Linked DNA regions of Macaca mulatta. The protein of the gene in region 1 purifies or fractionates together with the protein of each later gene. This does not show direct contact. Links are inferred from orthologs where the notes say so. Each region holds a gene or a part of one and is shown in the gene's direction. Other genes may lie near its edges.

Region 1 (5,425 bases):
CGAGACTCCGTCTCAAAAAAAAAAAAAAAGAAAAAAAAAGAAAAATAAGCTTATTGTATAAGCATTTTCTTTTAACTTAAGACTTACAAATTGAAGTAGCTTCAGGATTTTTCCATGAATATAGCCGTCTGAATGAAGTTTCCTGCCTTTAATGAACTATTTATAATTTCTTTTTTTTTTTTTTTTTTTTTTTTTTTGAGACGGAGTCTCACTCTGTTGCCCAGGCTGGAGTGCAGTGGCCGGATCTCAGCTCACCACAAGCTCTGCCTCCCGGGTTCCCGCCATTCTCCTGCCTCAGCCTCCCGAGTAGCTGGGACTACAGGCGCCGCCACCTCGCCCGGCTAGTTTTTTGTATTTTTTTTAGTAGAGACGGGGTTTCACCGTGTTCGCCAGGATGGTCTCGATCTCCTGACCTCGTGATCCGCCCGTCTCGGCCTCCCAAAGTGCTGGGATTACAGGCTTGAGCCACCGCGCCCGGCCGAACTATTTATAATTTCTTTAAAGGTTTCTTTAAACTGGAGCAATAAATCCCGTGGGTTTGTAATCAACTTTTCTTTTACAACATACTAAAGACATTTTTCATATCATTTTATGCAAATGTACCTCATTTTTCTTTTTTGAGAGAGACAAAAAAGAAACAACAACCCCCTGTTGCCCAGAGGGTAGTGCAATGGCAAGATCATAGCTCAATGCAACCTTGAACTCCTGGGCTCAAGTGATCCTCCCACCTCGGCTTCCCTAGTAGCTAGGATTACAGGCACATACCACTACCCCTGGCTAATTAAAAAAAAAAAATTTTTTTTTTTTTTGGGTGGAGATGGGGTCTTGCTATGTTGCCTGGGCTGTATTCACTTTTTATGTATTTATGTATTTATTTATTTATTTATTTATTTATTTATTTATTTATTTTGAGACAGAGTTTCGCTCTTGTTGCCCAGGCTGGAGTACAATGGCATGATCTCAGCTCACCGCAACGTCTGCCTCCCAGGTTCAAGCAATTCTCCTGCCTCAGCCTCCTGAGTAGCTGGGATTACAGGCATGCACCACCACGCCTGGCTAATTTGGTATTTTTAGTAGAGATGGGATTTCTCCATATTGGTCAGGCTGGTCTTGAACTCCCGACCTCAGGTGATCTGCCCACCTCGGCCTCCCAAAGTGCTGGGATTATAGGTGTGAGCCACCGCTCCTGGCCCTATACTCACTTTTTATAAAACTGGCCTCATATTATTCCATTGTATAGTGGATACACTCTAATTTCTTTACAAATTCTTTACACTATTTTTTTGATGTTTTGTTGAAAAAACTTGAGCAGAGAACTGAGATTATGAAGGTGGACTGAGGGATGAATCTGGCAATAGAGCATAAAATGGATTAAAGAGGAGAGAATGGAAAAGGAAATGATTGATGAGAGACCCTTGAAATAATCCAGCTGAGATTAGGCCAGTTAGTGGCCATGGGTTTTCCCCTCACTCTTATGCATCCAACATATGCTTTCGTCCGTCTTGAAGTCCCGACATTTCTAGAAAACACAGTTGTCTTTCTCCTCTCTACCTTAGCTCATCTCAGTCCTTCTGAATTTCATCTTTGCTTGTTGAAATCCTACCTCTCCTTCAATATCCAGAACAAACCCCACACCCTGCCATGATTGGTACTGGCTGGAAATTGTCCCTCCTCCCTTTCTTCCTTCCTTTGTGCATGTTTCTTCCAAAGGCAGTACAGGGCAGTGGTGAAGAGCAACGACTTTGGACCCACCAATTTGCTATCTCTGTGCCCTTGGGCACCTTACTCAATGCCAGTTCTCAGTGCCTCAGTGTCCTCACCTGTCAGAGGGGGAGGAGTGCATACAGCGTTGTTATGAGGAGCAAATCAGTTAAAGTTTGTAAGAATAGTGCCTGATAGTATCTGATCAGCGCTGAATAAATGTTAGCAATTGTTTTGATTCACCGCAGAGGGCGGTCTACAACAGCGCGGAGCCCCACTCGGCCAGCGGGGCCTGGCGGGGGACCTGTCGCGCTGAAAGCTCCAGGGTAGGGCCAACGCCCATCAGGCTGCGCATCCGTTCGGGATGCGCAGGTTGCAGTCTGCAGCCGGCGGCGTCACGCCCAGGCGGGCGGAGCGCGGCTCCGGGAGGCGCGAGCCCGCGGTCATGTGACACAGTGAAGATGGCGTCGCCCAGCTGCCTGTGGCTCTTGGCTGTCGCCCTCCTGCCATGGACCTGCGCTGCCCGGGCGTTGCATCATCTGGACCCGCCGGCGCCGCTGCCGTTGGTGATCTGGCATGGGATGGGTGAGTGAGTGAGAAGCTGAAAAGGGTTTGGCGATTCTCTCTCCTCCTAGCCTCGGTTCGCATCTGCAAAATGCGGGTGTAGAGGGCGAGGACCTGGCCCCACAGCTCGCGGCTGCCTCGACATTTTAGGATTTGAAGGATTTGAAGGATCTGCATTGGAAAGAGAGAAGGGGAAGGAGCCGTCCTTTGATGAGCTCAAGGAGAGCCGCGCACGGCGTTGAGGTTTTACATGCTGTCCTTGATTAATCCTTACAGTAGTGGCGTCAGGATGCGGCATCTCGCACTTGATCAGGCTAGGTGAGCTGCGGCTGGCTACATGACTGGCGCATCTACCCTTTTATTTATTCCTTCACACATTGAACAGAGCTTTGTTAGGCACCTACAGTTCATTTACAAGTTGAGTAACCCTTATCTGAAATGCTTGGGACTGAGAAGTATTTCGGATTTTAAAAAAAATGTTTGCATATATACAACAAGATATCTTGGGGGTTGGACCCAAGGAAATTCATTTATTTTTCGTATACACCTTATACACATACCTGGAAGTTAATGTTTTTTTTTTTTTTTTTTTTTCCTGAGACAGAGTCTCGCTCTGTCGCCCAGGCTGGAGTGCAGTGGCCGGATCTCAGCTCACTGCAAGCTCCGCCTCCCGGGTTTATGCCATTCTCCTGCCTCAGCCTCCCGAGTAGCTGGGACTACAGGCGCCCGCCACCTCGCCCGGCTAGTTTTTTGTATTTTTTTTTTAGTAGAGATGGGGTTTCACTGTGTTAGGCAGGATGGTCTCGATCTCCTGACCTTGTGATCCCCCCGTCTCGGCCTCCCAAAGTGCTGGGATTACAGGCTTGAGCCACCGCGCCCGGCCTGCTGGAAGTGAATTTTATGCAATATTTTAAATAATGTTGGCTGGGCGCGGTGGCTCAAGCCTGTAATCCCAGCACTTTGGGAGGCCGAGACGGGTGGATCACGAGGTCAGGAGATCGAGACCATCCTGGCTAACACGGTGAAACCCCGTCTCTACTAAGAAATACAAAAAACTAGCCGGGCGAGGGGGCGGGCGCCTGTAGTCCCAGCTACTCGGGAGGCTGAGGCCGGAGAATGGCGTGAACCCGGGAGGCGGAGCTTGCAGTGAGCTGAGATCCGGCCACTGCACTCCAGCCTGGGCTACAGAGCGAGACTCCGTCTCAAAAAAAAAAAAAAAATAAAAAATAAATAAATAAATAAATAAATAATTTTGTGCAACCTGTCACATGAGGTCAGGCGTGGAAATTTCCAATTGTGGCATTATGTCTGCTCTGAAAAACTTTCAGATTTTGGATTTCGCATTTTCAGATTAGGATGCTCAACCTATATTAATTTAACACAGTTATTGAGCACCTACTAGGTGCTGAGGATACAGTAGGGAACTAAACAGGCTAAAGTCTTTGTTCTTTTGGAACCTACTCTCCAGTAGGAGGAGCAGATTATAAAGAAATTAATAAGTAAAACATAACATATCAAATGGTGATAAGTGCAATGGAGAAAAGTATAGTAGGGTGTAGGATAAAGATGAGGTGGGCGCTTGCACTTTTAATAAAGCAAAGTTGGGAAAGAATTCATTAAAAAAGTGACATCTGAATGCAAAACAGGTGGATGAGGACAGTTGCCATTTGGCTATCTGGTAGAAGGAACAGTAAATGGGAAAGCCCTGATGCAGAAGTATGTCTGGTATATTCAACAGACAGCATTCAGGTCAGTGTGGCTGGAAATGAGTGAGCAAGGGGAAGAAGTTAGGAGTTTAGTTTGGAAGGGAGGGGCAGTTACAGAAGTTATTGGGCCTAGTAAGACTAATGCAGGGACTTTGGCTAGAGTGTCATGGGGAACTTTGTGACCACATGAGTGACATGATCTGACACATTTTTTTTTTTTCTTTTTTTTTTTTTTGAGACGGAGTCTCGCTCTGTCGCCCAGGCTGGAGTGCAGTGGCCAGATCTCCGCTCACTGCAAGCTCCGCCTCCCGGGTTTGCGCAATTCTCCTGCCTCAGCCTCCTGAGCAGCTGGGACTACAGGCGCCCGCCACCTCGCCCGGCTTTTTTTTTTGTATTTTTAGTAGAGACGGGGTTTCACCATGTTAGCCAGGATGGTCTCGATCTCCTAACCTCGTGATCCACCCGTCTCGGCCTCCCAAAGTGCTGGGATTACAGGCTTGAGCCACCGCGCCCAGCCGATCTGACACATTTTTAAAGAATCACTTTAGTTGCTGTATTGAGAATAGATTGTAGGGGTTCATGGATAGTCACAGGGAGACAGGTTAGAAACTATTGCAATAATTTAAACAAGAGATGATGATGGCTTGAAACTGTAGAGTAACAATAGAGGTGTTGAGAAGTGGTCAAAGTTTGGATAGATTTTGAAGGTGGATCGCTAACAGATCAGACTTGGAATAAGAGAGAAAGAAAGGAGCCAAGGATGACTCCACAAGTTTTGGCCTGGACAATTGGAAGGGTGAAGTTTTCATTTTACCAAGATGGGGAAGCCTGTAGGACAAGCTGACTTAGGGTGGGGGAAAGATCAAGAGTCTGCTTTTGGGCTTACTAAACTCGAAATCCTCATGAGACATCCAGGAAGTGTTGTAGAGGCATGGAGCGTGGAGTCTAGGACAGAGATACCGGCTGGAGATTTAAGTAGGGAGTCTTCGGCATACAGCTAGTAGTTAAAGGCCTGGTGAGATCACCTAGGAAATGAGTGTACACAGAGGACTGAGCCCTGAGGTACTCCATTCCCTTTGGAGGTGGAGGAAATGAGGAGAAACTAGCAAAGGAGACTATATCCGAACAACCAGTGAAGTGGAGGGGTCAGGAAAGCTCAGTGTCCTTGACGCCAAGTGAAGAAAGTGTTTCAGGAGGAAGGGCATGATCAACTGCATCAAATGTTGATAGGTCCTGAGTAACTGTATCAAATGTTAATGGGTCAAGGAAGATAAAGGCTGACAACTGATTATTGGATTTAGCAATATAAAGATGACTAATCTTGACAAAAGCAGTTTTGGGAGAGTGGTGACAGTGAGAGCTTCATTGGGATGGGTTACAGAAAAATATTCAGAGTAATTAGAGTGAGCAAATACAAACACTTTCAAGGTTCTGCACCAGGCCCTGGGGCTACT
Region 2 (4,937 bases), on another chromosome or scaffold:
AAGGTTTTCTTTGTAGTGGCTCAGTAATGACTGAGCCGTGTTTGGTGATGACTTCAGAAACCTTACTTACTGTTCCTCAGTGGCCATTTATTCTGCCCAGATGGGAACAGGATTTATAGCCCCTTGGTTGCTTTTATTATTTATCCTAATCTATTACTCTCCATAATGTTCGGCAGCAGCTTTCTAAAAAAAAACAATAAAGTTCGATATAAAACTAGTTACTTGGCCAATAATCAGCTTTTCCTGCTGGCATACCTATTTCTATTATTTGAAATTCAGTCTTTGATTCCTCATTATCCATTTTGCCTTCACCTTCCCCACTCTGAAAACAGTATGTTGGGGTACCACAGCCTTATTGTTAGTTTTTCTTGTCTAGCCTTTTTTGCATGTGCTATCATAAAAAAAGGAAGTCTTATTTTGGCCCTCTACTTCTACTAAATGAGGATTATGCTTCATCTGGCATTCATAGCACTTTGTAACTGGATCCCAAGTTCCTTTTCCAGCCTTATCCTCTGACACTATTCTTTGTATCTGTGCCGCAGTCACCTTTTTTGACCCGTATTTTCCTGTCTGGCCCTTTTGTTTTTATTCTACCTTGAAACACGCATGTGCACACATGCTCTTCAGGGTAGGAATTACATCTTATTCGTTTTTATATATCTATCCCTGTATACAGCCTGGAACAGAACTTTGCCTGTAGGCATTCAGGAATTATATAACATAATACCTGAACATGTAAACAAAATTGCACTTTGGGGAACATTTCAGAAACAGACCAGTGCTATGGAGTATAAGAAAACTGATGCACCTCAGCCGGATGTGAAGGAAGAGGAAGAAGAGAAGGAAGAGGAAAAGGACAAGGGAGATGAGGAGGAGGAAGGAGAAGAGAAACTTGGTAAGAAATAGAGTCCAGAAAATCTGCTTTAAGCCAAGACCCTACGATGTCGTTAAACCTTTACAGTCAAGTTAAAGATTGTTTTTAGCCAGGCATGGTGGCTCAAGCCTGTAATCCTAGCACTTTGGGAGGTTGCAGCAGGAAAATCGCTTGAGCCCAGGAGTTTAAGGCTGTAGTCAGCCAGGATAGTGCCACTGTACTCCAGCTGAGCAACAGAGTGAGGTCCTCTCTCTCTCTTTTTTATGTTTATTTTGTATGTATGTATGTATGTATTTATTTATTTTCAGATGAAGTCTCGCTCTGTTGCCCAGGCTGGAGTGCAGTGGTGCGATCTCGGCTCACTGCACGCTCCGCCTCCTGGGTTGACACCATTCTCCTGCCTCAGCCTCCCGAGTAGCTGGGACTATAGGCGCCCGCCACTATGCCTGGCTAACTTTTTTGTATTTTTAGTAAAGACAGGGTTTCGCCGCATTATCCAGGATGGTCTCGATCTCCTGACCTCATGATCCACCCACCTCGGCCTCCCAAAGTGCCAGGATTACAGACGTGAGCCACTGCGCCCAGCCTCTGTTTTTATTTTTTAAGACATGGTCCCACTCTGTCACTCAGGTTGGAATGCAATGGCACAATCACAGTTCACCACAGCCTCGAACTTATAGGCTCAAGTGATCCTCCTACCTCAGCCTCCCCCGTCCCCAAGTAGCTGGGACCACATGCCCAGCTGATTTATTATTTATTTATTTATTTGATGTGATCTGGCCCTGTTGCCTAGGCTGGAGTGCAGTGGTGTGATCTTGGTTCACTGCAGCCTTTGCCTCCCGGATTCAAGCGATTCTCCCACCTGGGCCTCCCAAAGTGTTGGGATTACAGGCGTGAGCCACCACACCCAGCGAGATCCTGTCTCTTAAAAAAAAAATTATTGACCAGGCACGGTGGTTCACACCTGTAATTCCAGCACTTTGGGAGGCTGAGGCGAGTGGATCATGAGGTCAGGAGATCGAAACCATCCTGGCTAACACGGTAAAACCCCGTCTCTTCTAAAAATACAAAAATTTAGCCGGGCGTGGTGGCGGGTGCCTGTAGCCCCAGCTCCTTGGGAGGCTGAGGCAGGAGAACCGCTTGAACCTGGAGGCAGAGGTTGCAGTGAGCTGAGATCGCGCCACTGCACTCCAGCCTGGGTTGACAGAGCGAAACTCCGTCTCAAGAAAAAAAAAAGTGTTGTAGATCTAGAGATTTGTTCTAATGCTAATGTGTAATCACCAAAAATAGTCAGGTTTTGCTCAGTTGTTTAACTTTTGTCTCAGAAGAGAAACAGAAAAGTGATGCTGAAGAAGATGGTGGCACTGTCAGTCAAGAGGAGGAAGACAGAAAACCTAAAGCAGAGGTAAAGGAAAGGGGTCACACATTCTGTTTTTCCAAGTTTAAGGTACATTTATTTAAAGGGAATATTTTAATAGGGTAGTTTACAGTGGCTTATGGCAGTAAAAATTCTGTTAAAACCAATTTTGTTGAAGTGGAATTCTTTGTGATACCGGTCAGTGTTTTGTTTGATAATCTGAAGCTACATCTGCCTCTCCAAAGTATTTTTTTAGCTGAAAATGATTTTCTGGAATAAGCAGAAGGTTGTAGGGGGATAATAAAATGCTTGCTAAGAAGGAAACTTCGGGTCATTAACAGTCTATTTGCCTCTCCTCACAGTGCCCTGAAAAGTATTTCTTATACAAATCACTGTGTTCTAAACTTTTTGTCCCCGTTATCCATAGATTGGTTCCATTCATTCATTTACCTGATGTGTGTTGAGTGCCCATTTTGTTGCAGGCATTGTCAGTGAATAAGACAGACAAAGATACCCTGCCTTTAGGGAGCTGATATTCTACTTGGGGGAAACAGGCAGTGAGCAGTAAACATTGTAAGGAAGTAAACAACACAGCATATTAGGAAGTGAGAAACTATGAAAAATTAAAACAGGAAAAAGTATTAAAAGTGCTAGAGGTAGGGCGGGTCACCATGTTAAAAACCTTACTCGAAAGATGACACTGGACCAAAGACTTGAAAGAGATAGAGAACTTTTCCATGGGGATGTAAGTGGGAAGAGCATTCCAGGCAGAGAGAACAGCCAGTATTGAGAGCCTAAAGTGGTCTACAAAGCCAGTATGGTGAGTGGACAGACAGAGTGGAGAAGAGAAGGGTGGAGAAGGCTCCGGGTTAGACAGGCTGTTGTGTGGACTTGGCTTTCCCTCCTAGTGAAGCAGGCAACCATCACAGGCTACTGGACACAGTTGTCACAGGATGATGACTATCTGCTGTGTTTCCTATATACCAGTGAGAATCAGGGAGACCAGTTAGGAGGTTCCTGTAATCATCTAGGAAAGATATGGTGGCCCCAAAAAGGGTGACAGGAGAGGAACAGAGGGTATGAGAACTAGTTGGGGTTCTGGATCTTGGTTTTGTGGTGGATTGGATAGATATATAGAGTATGAGAGAAAGGGAACAGTCATTGTACCATTGCCCACTAAAGTCCTTCCCCCAGCACCTCTGTGTCTCAGTCTGGTCTCTCCTGGAAAGCTCTTCTCAGGTTTTACTTCCAGCTACAACTCTGCCTTCCTATTAATAAAGGTCATTGCTATCTGTATCTTTTGTATATTTTCAATGGATATGTTCTGTCTTAACTAGAATGCAGTTCTTTTTTTTTTTTTTTTGAGACGGAGTCTCGCTCTGTCACCCAGGTTGGAGTGCAGTGGCCGGATCTCAGCTCACTGCAAGCTCCGCTTCCCGGGTTTACGCCATTCTCCTGCCTCAGCCTCCCCAGTAGCTGGGACTACAGGCGCCCACCACCTCGCCCGGCTAGTTTTTTGTATTTTTTAGTAGAGACGGGGTTTCACCGTGTTAACCAGGATGGTCTCGATCTCCCGACCTCGTGATCCGCCCGTCTCGGCCTCCCAAAGTGCTGGGATTACAGGCTTGAGCCACCGCGCCCAGCCCTAGAATGCAGTTCTTAAAAGTAGAGACCATGTTTCCCCCAAACTCCCTCACATGTTAAAAAGTTGCTGGCGCATTTTAAAAAAAAAAGGAATATTTTCATAGGGTAATTTACAATCTTAGCAACTTGTGATAGAGTACAAAGAGCAGCAGCCTTGGAGTCAGTCTACTTGGATAGTCTTCCATCTTCATGAATCCTTGGTTTCTTACCCTCAGACTGGGGCGAGTGTGCCATAGGCCAGTAGATTGTTTGGGATTAAGCAAGATTAAGAAATCACTTAAGCAAGATAAAGAAACCACAGTGTCTGATCCCTTTTTAAGAATATGTTTATGGGTTAGATTGAGAAAAGTGTATGCTTATAGAAAACAATGAAGACTAAACTGAAGTAGGAATAATTCCACCACCTCTGAGACAACCATTCTTCTTGGTGCATTTTCTTCTAATCATTTTTCTCATTTTTTCCTCAAATAAGTTACCCTCAGCCTGGCTGATCTTGAAAATATGGTGAACTTTTATTATGTTTTAAATGTGCTAATTATAGTGAATTTCTTTTCTTTTCAATCAATAGGAGGATGAAATTTTGAACAGATCACCAAGAAACAGAAAGCCACGAAGAGAGTGAAACAATCTTAAGAGCTTGATCTGTGATTTCCTCTCCCTACCCCCTGCAAGAGTGGTCCTAGGAGAGGACCTGGCACACCTTAGATTGAAATTCAGAAAACTTCAAGACATCACCATCAGCAGGCTCCAGTTGAACACTAGTCTGTGTAACTTTAAACATCTAGCAGTAAATACTTGCAGTTGTGATATAAAGGACCCTGTTTCTGTAGAAAAGAAAACATTTAACATAATGGTTGTGAAATATAACATGAGGCAAACTAACTTCTTTTTTTTTTTTTTTTTTAACATCTTTGTTTTTTAAAATAGAATGATAGAACTTTGCCAGTCTTTAAGATCTTGGCTTAATTTAATGTATTAATCTGTTTGTGCAAACATAATACCACCATTTAAAAATGTTAGGGAGATGAGTTGCAGTTTTTATAATAGATTTTTTTTAAAGTT

What was found.
Region 2: the proteins of PPT1 (region 1) and CANX purify together in Homo sapiens (affinity purification with mass spectrometry; 3 studies listed by BioGRID and IntAct, with this or other methods). This does not show direct contact. The link is inferred for Macaca mulatta from reciprocal best matches to the Homo sapiens genes PPT1 and CANX.

The regions. Positions count from the first base shown.
Region 1 is NC_133406.1:200,690,043-200,695,467, forward strand, and holds the start of PPT1 (palmitoyl-protein thioesterase 1 precursor), read left to right. Parts: upstream 1-2,156; 5' UTR 2,157-2,162; coding exon 2,163-2,286; intron 2,287-5,425. UniProt on the Homo sapiens protein: Has thioesterase activity against fatty acid thioesters with 14 -18 carbons, including palmitoyl-CoA, S-palmitoyl-N-acetylcysteamine, and palmitoylated proteins. In contrast to PPT2, PPT1 can hydrolyze palmitoylated proteins and palmitoylcysteine.
Region 2 is NC_133411.1:188,715,104-188,720,040, forward strand, and holds part of CANX (calnexin), read left to right. Parts: intron 1-768; coding exon 769-895; intron 896-2,199; coding exon 2,200-2,279; intron 2,280-4,443; coding exon 4,444-4,497; 3' UTR 4,498-4,937. UniProt on the Homo sapiens protein: Calcium-binding protein that interacts with newly synthesized monoglucosylated glycoproteins in the endoplasmic reticulum. It may act in assisting protein assembly and/or in the retention within the ER of unassembled protein subunits.